2 linked regions of the Astyanax mexicanus genome follow. The protein of the gene in region 1 interacts with the protein of each later gene in a biochemical or structural test. Links are inferred from orthologs where the notes say so. Each region holds a gene or a part of one and is shown in the gene's direction. Other genes may lie near its edges. The genes, in order: ibtk and btk.

Region 1 (7,886 bases):
TTAATTTTTGAGGCTCATCACAAGTCAAGTTCACTTTGTCAGCAACAAAATCATATTTCTGTAACCATGTCACCATGTCCTTCATTACGCAGTCACAAACCCATGGGTTATCTGCCAGGTAGAGTCGAAGCCCAGGTATCTGGCTGAAATCGGCCAAAGTCCCATTGGGTATCTTCTTCAGAATGTTGTCCCGCAGGTCAAGATGGTTTAACCCTTGACTTCTGAAAGTGACATTTTTTATTGAGATTATTGAATTGTTCCTCAAGTCCAAAGTGCTTAGGTCAGGTAAACTGGTAATGGTATCTGGAAGCAGGATCAGGTCACTGCTGGACAGGTTAAGAAGGGAAAGTTTAGGAACACTGTGCTTTAAAATGTTGGAAATTATGCCCGTGTACGAAACGTTGTACAAAGAGCGACTGAGGTTTAAGACCTTAAGCTTATTGTTCTCTGGGAAAGCATCAGGGCTGAAATTCAGCATCCTGTTGTTGCTCAGGTCTAGTGAATGGAGACTGGGCAAGTTGTCAAACACTCCAGGGTCCACTTGCTCTATTTGGTTTCCAGACAGATAGAGGTCTGTCAAAAACTCTAGAGGAGCAGGGAATGAGTCCTCAGTTAGATGGGTAATGTTGTTTCCATTGAGGAAAAGTGCTGTTGTGTTTGGTGGTAGAGGCTGTGGAATGGATATTAAGTTCTGGTAAAGGCATTTTACCGTTGTTGATGTGCAAATACATTTATCAGGACAGTCCAGAGAAGAGACTGGGACAAAGAATGACAGAACAAGCAGCAGGCAGAGAGTCAGGAGGCGGTGGTGAGCATGTTTCTCTTTCACTACCAACATGTTTGCATTTAAATGACAAATGAAGGTGACTGAATCCCAGAAAGAGTGTAACACAATTGTCTAAGTAGAAAAACGAAGACAGGTCTGCTACAGAGGCTCAGTGTTTATTTCAAATTCCTGGAGTACAGTCACATTCCTCCCATTCCTCCCTCTGGACTTCTGACTTACGTAGTAACGGGGTTGAGGCAAAAAACACAAGCTAACATGGAATCCAGCAGTTTAAAAGGTCTCAGACTCACACAGTCTTCATTATTCCTCTTCTTTGTTGAGTTTTAGAGCTGGTAGTTGAGCTGGCGGTGCTGCTTCTCCTTCATCACTTCAGGCAAAAGTTAAATCTGCTCCAGTCTACTTAGATACCTCCCCGCAGTCCCTCCAAAACAACAGAAATTACCTCCTCTGGGTGAACTGTTCAGGTTTTAACCGTTTGGTCGCGCTGATATACATCCAGAACCATCCAACTTTTCCCTTTCCCTTGTGGATTCTGTAATCTTTTCGGATTTTCATGACACTGGTTTTGAGCGCAGCACCCGGACTCCGCCGAGTTGGATTCCTCCTCCTCGCCCGTTCCCTACAGCCTGTCCACAGACCGCTGAGTGGACTCAACCATTACAGCAGCGGACGGGGGAGCCCGCGAGACTCACCACACACACACCACACTTAACACACCCAACATTACCCGCACGACAGCGTGGTCTATCTGGTTCACGACCCAACCTTCGATTTTTTTTAGCTATTTACACTCTGTGTACATCAAAGACAATATTCAAAATCATTATTAATCTACTTTTACACTGTACGGAAACAAACGCGATGGAATACCCCTGTAATACTATTTGGAATGTTCCCAGGAAAAAATACATGGGCCTATCTAATTTTACTGTCTAAGTTTTTCTAGCTGACTAAATAGATACACATTTGCCACAACAATACATTTTAATCTTTTTAAAGCCCATTCCTGCCTCCTAAAAATAAAAATGAGACATCATTTTGAGATACTAAGTCATTATTTTGATGTTATATAGTAATTTTAAGATACTGTCCCAATAGTTTAAGATATTATATCATTATTTTAGGTACATCTTAATTTAGAGATGTTTTCCATTAATTTTAAGATACTCTCACATTATTCTGAGGGGTTTTCTCGTTATTTTAGGATACTAGTTCATTGTTTTGAGATGTAATCTCATTATTCTAAGATGCTATCTCATTATGTTGCGATACTATCACATTTTGAGATGTTATCTTTTATTTTGAGATGCCATTTAATTTTGAGATACCTAATATATCATCAATTTGGTCATTTCATTATTTTGAGAAGTTGTCTCATTATTTTTAGATGTTACCTTATTAAGTTGAGTCATTATTCTGAAGTCAGTAAAAACTTTAATTTGTTCAAAATAACAACTTAATATCTCAAAATAATGAGATAGCAGTTTATGTAATAATGAGAAAAAAACATCTACAATATTTTAGTTAATGCATTCAGCTACCTAAGTTTCACTTATTGCTAAAAAAAAAAAAAGAGGTGCAATAGCACACACATGTCTAGTCCCTGTAGAGAAGTATTGCCAATAGAAATGGATTCTCTGGAAAAGATAAGCATGAACCAATTGGTGCCATGCCTAATGCCTGACATGGGCTACAGGTGGAGTAGAAGTGGGGCAGTGGAACTGTGTTCACTGGGCTGATGGCATCCTCTTGGTTTCAGATGAAACAATGTTTCTAATACTTTCAACAAAAGTAAAACAGACATTGAAATGCTTAAATTCACAGATCCTTTTTTTTTTGGGTGGACATAAAACAATGTAAAGTTTGTAGAACATTTTTTGGGTATTAATAAGCATTGTACCTAAGCAAAAGTAAACATACATTGTGATTTAAAAGGACAATAAGACAGTACTATACTGGTGCTGATGGAATAAAATCTCCAAATTTGGCCACTTTACAGGAGAAAGAAAAATATTCCTTTAAACTTTAAATCACAAAAGAGAGAACAGGTTTCATTTCCAGACCAAAAACGATATCCTACTTTAAATTCATTAATAATATGTAATTGCAATTAAATATTATTTATTGCTCAAACATGGATTCAAATTTCTATTAAAAATCAAATTAAACTGCTCTGATCTAAACACACTCTGATCACATGAGGCCGAGCATTGTCCTGCACCAGGATGAATTTGGGGCCAACAGTCAGACAGTGGCTCTATGGATTTCATATTGGTACCCAACAGTAGGATTGTACAACCCTCCTTGTGCAATCCAAAGGAGCAGATACTGGTCCTGCTGCTGGGTTAGTGACCTTTTTTAAAGAGAGTATTTTAGGATTTACAAGTGATATTTATAATTGAGGAGAATATATTTAGATATCAGTAGTGGCTATGTTTTTACTTGGGGTGCCAAATATCTGAATATCCGTTTTCTGGCTTGTGAATCATGTCCTGCAACCCCACACTCCTGCACTACTCCTGCTGTTCTAATTCTGGTTCAGTTGGCCAACCTGAGTCCCTGAGTACTGGAGTAAGGTCACTCCTGCAGCATATCACTACCCACAACAGCTGACCGAGAGAGTGCTCAGTTTGCACCCAGATAGTAGTCTGAATTACATAAGCCACAAAGCAGTGCTATTAGTGACATAACTGAAGGACACTTTTATTTATGCATATTATCCAGAAAGTTTAAAGTGGTAAAAAAAAATCCCAGACAAACATTAACCTTAGTGATGGTACTTTCAATGTAGAGTCAGAATCAGAATACTGTGTAGGCCAGGACTAGGTCTACATTTTTGTATAAAACACTGACTCATTGACTAATTGTCCTAAAGATGACAACGACCACTTATCCAACATTCCGTCTGACACCAAAGGTTAAATTGGGAATTTTAAATTGGGCATTGTGACCTCTTCAGGTTGGTATAAGCTCTGAGTATGTTTTACATGTGTTTGTCTTTGAGCATATGATTACAGCCAACCTCATTCTCATGTTAGTCCAATTTAGGCCTCATGTGCAGTGAATAACCCAGATGGGGCCCATGTTTAACACCTCCTGGTCTCATTACAGACTTGATGGGGTCCATCACTGACATTCATATGTGGAACCCATGGACAAACCTTTTTGATTTCCAGTTGGGCTACCCATAAAGGCCTTATTACCTGGGACCCAGGGGTTTCAGAAGCATTTTTAATGGGGGGTGGGGATGTATGGTCTTTGGATCCTTCCCCATAAAGTGCTTATGAATTAGATGCCATTTTCTGCATTCTGGTGTATTCTTAACAGGTTGTTCAACACCTAATTTTACTTACAAAAGTGACTTAAGTAAATAACTATTTCAGGGTCCGACACTATTCCCTTGTTAGTTTATTCCCTTGTTTTTATTATATTTAAAGCACATCCTATTTTTCTACCTAAAACATCCTAAAATACCTAAAATACAATTTTATTTTTTACATTATGTTGTTAGCATATATGAGGCCCTGGCAACTAAACTAACATAACTGAGAGGTAGATTTATTTGTAAAACATGCTATATCTGCTTGTACTGTAGTAAACATTTTTTTCTCTCTAAAACACCCCAAAATACAATTTCGTATATTTTTATATAATCAACCACAAAATCTGATCAATTTCTTTACCTGGTCGACGTTTTTATCAAGAGCTCCCATCTGAATGCTAGGTCTCTCTCTCTCTGCTCCCCGCTGCTCTCAACGCAGTTCCTAGCCCCGCCCACTACTTAGGCTTAACAGAAGTTAGTGAATTAAAATGTTAAAGCACAAATAAACTGTCGCACAAATAAAAAATAACCCTTTTTTACATCATATTTTTTATGAATGCTTATATTTCGAAAAAGACACTGTGGTAAATGTCCAGTGATGGAAACCTGTAGGTTACAGCTCTCGGTCAACGATTCTGTCCAGCCGGTGACGCAGGCGGGGGGACACCCTCGTGCTATCAGTGCCCCACATATGGGAGGAGAAGTTGCAGCACAGGGCTCCTCTAAACCTATCGACTTCCAGCCATGGGCACACTGAGTGCAGAAGTCGCTCATATTAAAATAGACATTTTTTAGATTGCTGAATGAGAAACTAGGCTACTTGTTATGTTTATAATCTAGACAGCTTTAAAGCTCTGGACTTTATGAGCCACATCCCCACAGCAGTCAGAGAGGCAGAGTCCAATAGAGGCGGAGGATACAGGATCCCCGGAGCCAATCCCAGCGCTCCTTACTGCTCTCTCGGTCTGTAACCTGTCCGGTCTGCAGCGCTACAGATCATTTATAAAAGCTAAAACATTCCTCTGAAGATGTGTCTGTGGATTTGCTACACTGACTCCGACTCAAACCCCAGTTTCTCCTTCATCTAACGGCAGGTGGGTGACAGAGCGGGAGCTCTGGGCCGGGCTGCTGTGAGGGTTTACAGCCTGTTTAACTGGTGATGTCATCCCAAATATGCTAAGCTAACGTCAGCTAGTTAGCCTAGCTTAGCTTTCTTCTCTTAACTTTGTAAAGTATTCCCCTAACTAGCTACTAACTATTCATGCCTTATATGCAGCCCTTAGCAAGAGTAGTTAGGCCCGTTTTATTTAAGAATATGTAGTTATAATTGTTTGTATATATCAGTGCATGCACACCTCTGTGTTGCAAAACAGTTAGCCCGCTAGCTAGCAGGTTAATGTCAGTTTGATAACTAGCTCTTCAAGTTACCCAACATTAGCTAAGTTTGTAACATAAACAGCTCTGTTCAAAGCTATAGCTAAAGCTAACACAACAGTGTTGTGTGACAAGTCCTGTAGCTACTTTTGGAGGAACATTTTGACTCTGAAATCCACAGCCTACATGTCAAGAGACACTCTTAACTCATAAAAAAAAACATTTTTTTATTCACAATATTCTTCCTTAACTTGAGAAGATGAGGGATTTGTTTTGTTGCTGAAGCTATAATTATGTGTGCAAAAATTACTGATGTATTATGTCTGTGCTCTACAGACATTATGTATATATGTGGCGCCATAGATATGATTGCATGGAGCATTATTCACTGTCTCACCACCGTTCTGACACATCCACACAAACCACTTCATACAACTACTCAAATGCCTTGTAGATTTGTAGAAATGTGAAGCGTTAAATTTGATCCATACAGGTAATCTAGTGAATCAATTTGCCAGTTTGAATGGAATTGCCCTGAAGATTAATCTCCCGAAATTGAAATGATCGGAAAAATAAAGTAAAAAAACAAAACAAAAAACTAACAAAAACATTACACATTACTTGAAAATTTGTAAAATTGTACTGGTACTGTTTTTAGCAGAGTAATGGAAAAAATATAAATATTTTTGTTGGTGTATTTACAGATGAAATACTTAGAAACATAGGTAAAGTTTATTAACAAAGTTTACTATGCACTAGGGGTGTCACGATCTCGATATTTTATCGAAATCGAATCGAAATGAGGTCACGATCTCGAGTATCGAAGTCAAAAAGAGGATCGACGATCCCTCCCGCGCGCGCTACGCAAATAGCGCAGCGCGCTACGCAAATGGCGCGGCACCAACACAGCGCATCCTATTCATTTAAATAGAGATAGCCACTGCATAAGCGCAGTCGGCGGGAGTGTGATCACTGTTTTTATCTGTCCAACGGGGGAGGGGGGGGGCGGGGGTTGGGCGCGCAGGTTTTGTATCTGTATCTAACGGAGGGGTGGGTGCGCGCAGGTGAGAGCGTGTGAACTCGCTGAAATGCGTGTGTCAGTGTGACTTGAGAACACTGACTATAGATCACAGTGAGGTGGATTAAAAATCTTAAACTTATAATTGACTACACCTGTTGCTTTCCATTGAATTAAAAAAACATCTTTCTCTCAGATAAAGTAAACACAAGCGTGTTTCTGACTAAAATAAAAGCTTTTCAGGAGAGATATAAGTTATGTGTAAATATTTATAAGACAATACCCACATCACTTATCTAACCAGCCTGTACTGATTTCTGCCCCCCAATAATGCTTTCAATAACCTCTTGTAACCCCTGGGAGCCAGGGGTTACACTCTAATAGCCTTTAATAGTCTTCAGTAGCCTTTAAAAGACTTACCTGGCGGCGTGGTGTGTCCACTAAACTCCGTAGTTATAAACATCCTGAGGTTAGCAGCGCGCTAACTGACCTGTTTATAATGTATTCCGAGCAGTGCCTCCGTGTCGGCTGTTCTAACCTGCTGCTGTTAGCTGCTTGGGCTGAAAGATGAACTGTAGTGAGCTGTATTATCCGGTTAGTGGGGTTAAAACCTTTATTTGTTTACAGAAACAGTAAAAACGGACTGGCTGAGCTCTGTAGCCCGTGGCTGGGCTGTACTGAAGTAGTGACTGAGTGAAAAGAGCGGGGCTTGTGCTGCTGCTGCTAGTGGTTGGATGAAGAACTGCAGCTTCATGTAATGAGCAGTTTCACCAGCCATCCACACACAGCTCTGATAAACTGCTTATTTTAATAGTGCACACTGTTGCTACCAAAAAAAGTCACTAGATGGCATTACCATATATATCTTAATAAATAATAATAATAATATTTATAATATTTATAATAATAATAATAATAATAATAAATATATTATTTAAATTTTATGAGGCATAAAATAATAACAAGAAAAAAAAACAAGAAAATCGAGAATCGAATCGAATCGTGACCCTCAAATCGAAAATGAAATCGAATCGAGGATTTAGAGAATCGTGACACCCCTACTATGCACAAAATGACAAACCCACAACACATTATTCTAACCCATAAAACATAAAAAAAAACTTTGTGAACAATTCTTGGAAAATACAGCATGCATCTTTTTAACTTGTGAATTAATCTGATGATTGTTATTTTCTGCACAGGTACCGTTTACAATTATGGAGGCTTAAAAAGATTAGTGTTGGGGGGAAGGAGTCTTTCCCCTCAAACTGGATGGACTGTTTTGATGGACTTTTTGGGTGGTTGAAGAGTTTGTTGCCTTTTGCACAATGATCTAAACTAGACTACAAGTGAAACAAGTATTTTTGAATAACTGAGAATATATT
Region 2 (7,902 bases), on another chromosome or scaffold:
TTTGTTCAGGATTTTTAAGAAACACAAAATTGGCTTTGTGCCTAAATCATCTCCTCATGAGGCCGAATGGCCACATGTGGTAAAAATCTCCCACACCCTGAACTGATCAGATCATTTGATTTTAGGGTAATGATCTGTATCAGGAGTGTTATTAAGCTAATTAATATTGCTAATCAACATTAAATGTGATTTAGGTCATTTTAATGGCTTTCTAATACTAGATTCCTTCACTTAACTAATCTCCACCATTGTCTTGTCCCCAATTTCACTATAATATACTACATTAAACTAATTAGCTATTTAATTTACTTAAAAACAAAAATCAATCATAAGACTACTACAACATAAATGCAACATCTATAACCTGTAACCTTCATTAATAAGCAGTAAACTTACCTAAATACTTTAAATTAGATTGTATTTTGATTAGGAATAATATATTAGCATAATCATGCTCTTGATATAGACCGTTATCCTAAAGGGGTACAATCAGATGATCTGATTTGCTGAGCATTGTTAGATGGTGATTTATGAGAAAAAAAGTCAATTTTTTAAAGATTATTTTATTATTTTTGTCTGTAGTGTTGTAAGACATTATGTTTGACAATAGAACAGGCTGTACTAAATGTCTTTACTTATCATAACTAGCAGGACAGACACCACAGAGAGCCTATTTGTAGATTTTATTTAATAAAACACCCAGAAGAACTGAAGTTTACTGAATGTTGAATGAACATACATTTTTACATTTATTTCGGATGTAGGAATTAGTTTTTTGTTTTCGATTTTACACCTTTATTTTAATCTTGACTTATATTAATTATGTATGTCTTTTTTAAATTCCCTTCTACTTTCGTATAGCCTGTACTGTTATACGGCAGTGTAGAAAGTGACATAATTATATAATTATTATTATTGTTATTAAATTAATTGTTTGTGGGGAGCTCCCTTCTCCTAAGAGCGCTATTATAATTGTAGACTCAGATCCCCAGCTATTTCAAATCTATAAACTTTGAATGAATGCAGATTCATTGTCAAATTTTACACTTAAGTGACCCTCACAAGAATATGTTAAGTGAAGGTTGTTTTTCCATCATCAACTAAGCTAATTAAGGATCTGTGTTGTCTTCAAACCAGGTCTCTGGACACGATGGGACGCCACTTTGGAGATTTGGCCAAGGTCCGGCACATAATCACCTACAGCATCTCTCCGTTTGAGCAGAGAGCTTTCGCCAACTACTTTTCAAAGGGAATTCCCAACGTTTGGAGACGATTCAGAGCATCCGTCTTCAAGGTTGCACCACGTAAGTTCCTTCAGCACCATCAAATCTGTGTACAGATTTAACAGAAATGTATAAGGGCATTTCTGTGTGAGGGACATGCATTAGAAACAGGATTTAATAGAGTAGAGACATGTCTCTATGTGCCTGCTCCACAATGTTCTAGTTAAGTTAAATCAGTTTTTTAAACTGTTTTGCCACATCAGCCTCTTAAGTACACAAAATTCTTAAAAGCAGAATTTAACATATCTAACCAGCACAGTAACATCATTCTGATAATAAACATCAACTGTTATTTGTCTAAAGAACAGCTGGCATTGCCTGCATTGGCAATTATCTCTAAATTTTCGTTTTGTTTTCATAATAAAAGTCCCAAATACTGTGTGGAAAGGTTAGTATAGCTTTCAGTATCATTTAGTATCAGTGAACAACCAATCATACTGTTAAGATGAAATCTGTAATATAGTGGAAACCTTTTAGTGTCCTATTTAACCACCATTAATTTAATGCAGTTTATGATCTATTCTTTTTTTGGAATATTTTAGTGTAAAAATGTTATGATCTTTGCAAAATGTGTTTATGCAGGAACGTGCAGGAAGTGGCAGATGAGGCAGTCGTATCTTGTGTAATTTTTCTTTTTGTCGGACTGAGTTTAAGTTTTATCTTTGCTGTACCACCCCTCATTAAGCTTATCTGTTAATTACCAATTTAATATTGAGTGATTCAGAATGAAAATAATCAATAATTAACCCTAGTTTATCTCTATCACTTTACATTAGGGCTTTTTTTGCCTGCTTAAAGGGCAATTATAAATACACAATAGAAAACTTAATAATAAACCACTTAATAAAATCACTTAATAATAAACAACCAATTGTTTTTTTTGGATTTACATTTTTCTTTCTTAAATTCACATTGTGCTTAGCACTTGTCTAGGAACGTTTCCAATTGTTAACACAAATAAAAATAAATACAATTTAAAATATGCTTAACTTAGTGTTTCTTGTAAATATAAAAAAGGCATTAATAAATAAATAAATAAACATTGCCTACGTTTACCTTTATTTTTTAGCTTATTAATATAACAGCTCTGTATTTTTACTGATATATATAGTAATAAATAAACAAACCATTTATGAAGTCTAGAGTAACCTTAAGGGCATGCTTATGACCATTATAATAAACTGCCCACACATTCAACAGCAGTGAAACAGAAACGTAGACCTCCGCAGGGCTCTTGTTATGTCAGCAGACAAGTAAAGGACATTAAGGACACTTAATTAAAGGTTAATCTCATTGATTTCCGCTTGGTTAATCTTGCGTTGTCTCGGGTCATGCTCTTTTTCTCTTTTCTCTTTTTGTGGGTGAGGTAAATGCGTTGTGCCACTTTCAAAGTAGTCAGGGTAAAATACAATGTTGTTTAAGCTTTATTATTTATTCCTTGATTCAAAGAAAATGCCTCAATACTTTATTTGTAATCGAGATACTCTTAATTACTGGTTAAAAAATATTATAAATAATACATCTGTGCATTTCCCCATTAAAATATACAATAGCAACATACAGTTTTTTACTCATAAACACACACACACACACACGTTACTTTTTTTCTTTTTCATTTTAAATAACAGTTTTGGTATTTATTTAAGTGTAGGAACTGTATTGATTATGTTTGGGTGATTTAATATTTCCTTTACTCTCTTTCACAGCCATGGTTCTGATGTACCTGACCTACACTTGGGGCAATCACGTCCACGAGCAGGGCAAGAGGAAGAACCTCGCCGACCACGAGCATGAAAATTAAATCCTATCACTGTCCCTTTTGTCCATGTTTAATGTTTATTATATTATTAAATGATCTATAAAGATATTCTCATGTCTTCATTTTGTAGTAGGTTTATATTTGTTATGAAAAGTGAGATTTTGAGAAAATTTTGACTATTTGACTAGAACTACAATTACATCAGCTCAGAGTTACATTACATTACATTACATTACATTTGGCAGACGCTTTTGTCCAAAGCGACTTACAATAGAGACGTACAAAAGTAATAGAAGTTAAAAGTAAAACATCTTTTAGGTAGGGCTTAAAGGAGGTCATAGGGGAAATAATGGGGTAGAGGAGTGAAGAAGGGGAAGAAGGAAAAGAGGGTTAATTGAGTAATTTAGCTCTACACAATGAAGCTCTCAGGATGTAATAAACATTTTATCATTAAAGGTTGTTAAAGGGTTAGGGTCAACATTTTATCTGATCTATTTTAGACCTGCTATAATCAATTTTGATTATAGTTTTAGTTGATTTTTAGTTTTATTACCAATGTCTGCACTGATGATTTAAAAATTGTATGGTCATAAAAAATTTGCCTTGAAAGCATGAAATAGTCATGAAAAATATAATGGAAATGTATTGGTTAAAAAGTGCATGAACGCTGCAGGAAGGATCAATCTGCCTAGTTAGGAAGTGTAGGTAATTGTAAATTAGGTTTGAGGTGTTAACTTATGTACAAATACTTAATTGTCTTACTTAAGTAGGAATGTTGGTTATCTATACTTTACTAAAGTAATCATATATTTTCACACAATTATGTCCTTTTTTACTCCTTACATTTTAAAAATAGCCTCATTATTCCTGTTTCATTTCAGCTTGTTTTCATGCCAGCTTCTCGTCATTTAATAAAACCCCTATAGTGTGAATCTGATTGTGATTGAATGAGAAGTATAAACATATATCATGTACTAATTTTATTAATTAATCATGTGTGTGGTTAATTTTGGGCGTTACATGACATAAACCAGAGTGTCTCTTTCTCATCATTCTCTTTAAGAGTAGATCAGGTGTGCTCTGACTTTGGTGGATTGCTATTGTAACGGTGCAGCTACCTGGACGTGTTCAACAAACTCTTCTCAGCAGAGGAAACTGAGCTGCTGGTTGACGCTGTGAAGGAGCTCCAGCAGCTCATTTACGGGAACAGCAATGTTATTTTATTTAATTATTCAAACAAATCTGGGTGTACGCTTGGCTATTTATAGGTTTATGTTTGAGTAAAATGGACATTGTTGTTTTATTCTATAAACTACAGACAACATTTCTCCCGAATTTCAAATAAAAATATTGTCACTTAGAGTACTTAGAGAAACGGCTAAAATAACAAAAAATATGCAGAGCTTTCAGACCTCAAATAATGCAAAGAAAACAAGTTCATATTCATAAAGGTTTAGGAGTTCAAAAATAATCAATAATTGGTTAAATAACCCTGGTTTTTAATCCGTTTTTATGCATCTTGGCATCATGTTCTCCTCCACCAGTCTTACACACTGCTTTTGGATAACTTTGTATTTTTTTTTCTCAGCTGTAGTGCTGTCGCTCTGCAGGCTAGTGGAGGTGCTAAAGTATTTTAACAGTGTATAACAGAGCGTTATATGAAAATGAGCAGGAAGCAAAAGGGGAACTGATGAAAAGTCCTGTGAAAGGGTGGGGTTTAACTCAACTGCAGCTCGTATTCACCCTCACTCAGCACCAGTAACACACGGAAACCAGTGAGTGCCAGCTCAGAGACCGGGCATCAGACTGGGTTAACGGGTCAGAGAGGATCTGGGAGTCAGGTAAGCACTGACTGGGTATGGGGGTGGGGGTCATATTTGAGATCTGGTGGTGCAATATCAGTATTTAAAATGTTTAAAATATGTATTTTTTAGATTTCTATTGGGACAAATCTGAGATCAGCACATATAATCAATACAAAAATATAATAATATAAAAAAAAACACTCCTAGATATACAGTAATTGCAATTTTCATAAAAAAATCTGTGCATATGCAATAAAAATACATACAATTAACAAATGAACACTATACACTGTGTTTATTGTACAGAGCAGCATAAAACAAAATATCAGGCTGTGGGAATAACTGTATAATATATTTTATTTCCTCAGTACACTGTACATAATAATATAATGTATTATATATAATGAAGGGAGGTATGACAAGGTTTGAGGGTTCATTTTTGAGACCGGTTGGTGCAATATGTGCAATATCAGTATTTAAAGATGTTTAGAATATGTCTGTTTTAGTTTTTTTTGTTGGGAAAATGTAATGGGCAGAAAATATAATTAATCAAACAATATATTCAGAGTAATAAAGTACTCTACATACACTCCTAGATATACAGTAATTGCAGTATAATCAAACAAACAATATTCTAGAGTTATTAATCACTCTACGTACACTCATATATACACAGTAATTTTTGCAGTTTTTATTCAATTTCTGTGCATATGCAATAAAAATACATACAACTAACAAATAAACACTCTACACTGTGTTTATGGAACAGGGCAGCGTAAAACAGAATATCAGGCTGTGAGAATAACTGTATAATGACTGATATTTACTCAGTACACTGTTAAATATATAATATAATGGAGGGAGGAATGACAAGGTTAGGGGGTTAATTTTTGAGACCTGTTAGTGCAATATGTGCAATATTAGTATTTAAAAATGTTTAGAATATGTTTGTTTTAGTTTTTTAGTTGGGAAAATTTAAACAGCAGAAAATATAATTAATAAAAAAATATATTTAGAGTAATAAAGTACTCTACATACATACTAGGTATGCAGTATTTGCAGTTTTCATAATAAAATACATATAATTTACAAATAAACACTCTACACTGTCTTTATTGCACAGAGCAGCGTAAAACAGAATATGAGGCTGTGGGAATAACTGTATAATGACTGATATTTACTTAGTATACTGTTAAATATATAATATAATGGAGGGAGGTATGACGAGGTTAAAGGGGTTCATTTTTGAGACCTGTTGGTGCAATATCAGTATTTAAAGATGTTTAGAATGTGTTTGTTTTAGTTTTTGTTGGGAAAATTTAAAGAGCAAGAAATCAAACAAACAAAATATTCAAGAGTTATTAATTATCCTACGTACACTTAAAACTTAAAGAGCAGGAAATATAATCAAACAAACAATATATTCAGAGTAATAAAGTAATCTACATACATACTAGATATACAATATTTGCAGTTTTCATTAAAAAATGAAAACTGTGCACATGCAATGAGAATAAATAAAATGAACACCGAAACACTCTACACTGTGTTTATGGCACAGAACAGCATAAAACAGAATATCAGGCTGTGAGAGTAACTATATAATGACCAATATTTACTCAACACACTGTTGCATAATATAATGGGGGGAGGTATGATGGGGTTAGCAGGTTCATTTTTAAGACCTAGTGGTGCAATATCAGTATTTAAAATTATTCAAAATATGTTTGCTTTAAAAAAGTTTAAAGAGCATAAAATATAATCAAACAAACAATATATTCAGAGAATTAAAGTACTCTACATACACTCCTAGATATGCAGTATTTGCAGTTTTTAAAATTGTATAAAAACTTGTGTATATACAATAACAAAACAAAAAGCTGACAAGCTGAAGATATTTAGCATTAGTATTAGACCTTCTCCAGTAATGTATGGCTACTATATTTTTTTATTATTTAAATGAATAAATAATTTATTATTATTATTAAATAGGTTTTATTTTTTGCGTGCTGTTTTATCATTATTTAAAAAAGCTTTACAAACACATTTTATTTATTCGATTTACTGATTTTATCATTATTCCTTCTGAATAAATGAATTATTATATATACATTCTACTTTACAAACCTCTTAGCTATATAACAAGAATAATATACTGCACTGTGGCTTAACCATTCAGGCAGATGGGGACTGGTTGTGCAATATAATCAATATATATATTATAAACTGTTCAGACTATGGCTTATTTAATTTTCTTTTAAGAAAATTAAGAGAGCAAAATAGAATAATAAAATTTTCATAATAAGATTATACAGCTCTGGAAAAAAATAAGAAAGCACTTAAAATTATTAGTTTCTTTGATTTTACCAAATTGAAAACCTCTGGAATATAATCAAGAGGAAGACGGATGATCACAAACCATCAAACCACCAAACTGAACTGCTTGAATTTTTACACCAGGAGTAAAGCAGCATAAAGTTATCCAAAAGCAGTGTGTAAGACTGGTGGAGGAGAACATGATGCCAAGATGCATGAAAACAAAAACTGTGATTAAAAACCAACCAACTATTTAAACTTTATGAATATGAACTGATTCAGAAACTGAAGTGGTCTCTTATTTTTTTCCAGAGCTGTATATACATAAGCACACTCCTAGATATATAGTAATTGCTGGTTTTCATTAAAAACCTGTGCATATACAAAAAAACACTAAATGATGAATAAACACTACACTGTTTACAGAGCAGTGTAAAACAGAGAGTCAGGCTGTGAGAGTTATACAGTAAACAGCTTTAAACGCTTTATTTGTGCCTCAACATACAACATAACAAGACAAGACAACCATATTTAACAAAACAAAAAGGAAATGTGTTTATACAGTATCTCAGAAAAGGAAGTACACCCCTCACATTTTTGTAAATATGTTATTATATCTTTTCATAGGAAACACTAAAGATATGAGACTTTAATACAGTGTAGAGTAGTCAGTGAACAGCTACAGTATAACAGTGTACATTTACTGTTCCCTCAAAATAACTCAACACACAAACATTAG

The links.
Region 2: the proteins of ibtk (region 1) and btk form a complex in vitro, tested with the Homo sapiens proteins (2 studies listed by BioGRID). The link is inferred for Astyanax mexicanus from reciprocal best matches to the Homo sapiens genes IBTK and BTK.

The regions. Positions count from the first base shown.
Region 1 is NC_064413.1:27,035,477-27,043,362, forward strand, and holds the start of ibtk (inhibitor of Bruton tyrosine kinase), read left to right. Parts: upstream 1-4,820; 5' UTR 4,821-5,203; intron 5,204-7,703; 5' UTR 7,704-7,886. Other genes in the region: tpbgb (trophoblast glycoprotein b), read right to left, coding at 1-838. UniProt on the Homo sapiens protein: Acts as an inhibitor of BTK tyrosine kinase activity, thereby playing a role in B-cell development. Down-regulates BTK kinase activity, leading to interference with BTK-mediated calcium mobilization and NF-kappa-B-driven transcription.
Region 2 is NC_064417.1:53,807,532-53,815,433, forward strand, and holds the start of btk (tyrosine-protein kinase BTK), read left to right. Parts: upstream 1-4,772; 5' UTR 4,773-4,883; intron 4,884-7,902. Other genes in the region: cytochrome b-c1 complex subunit 8, read left to right, coding at 1,151-1,304, 2,990-3,084. UniProt on the Homo sapiens protein: Non-receptor tyrosine kinase indispensable for B lymphocyte development, differentiation and signaling. Binding of antigen to the B-cell antigen receptor (BCR) triggers signaling that ultimately leads to B-cell activation.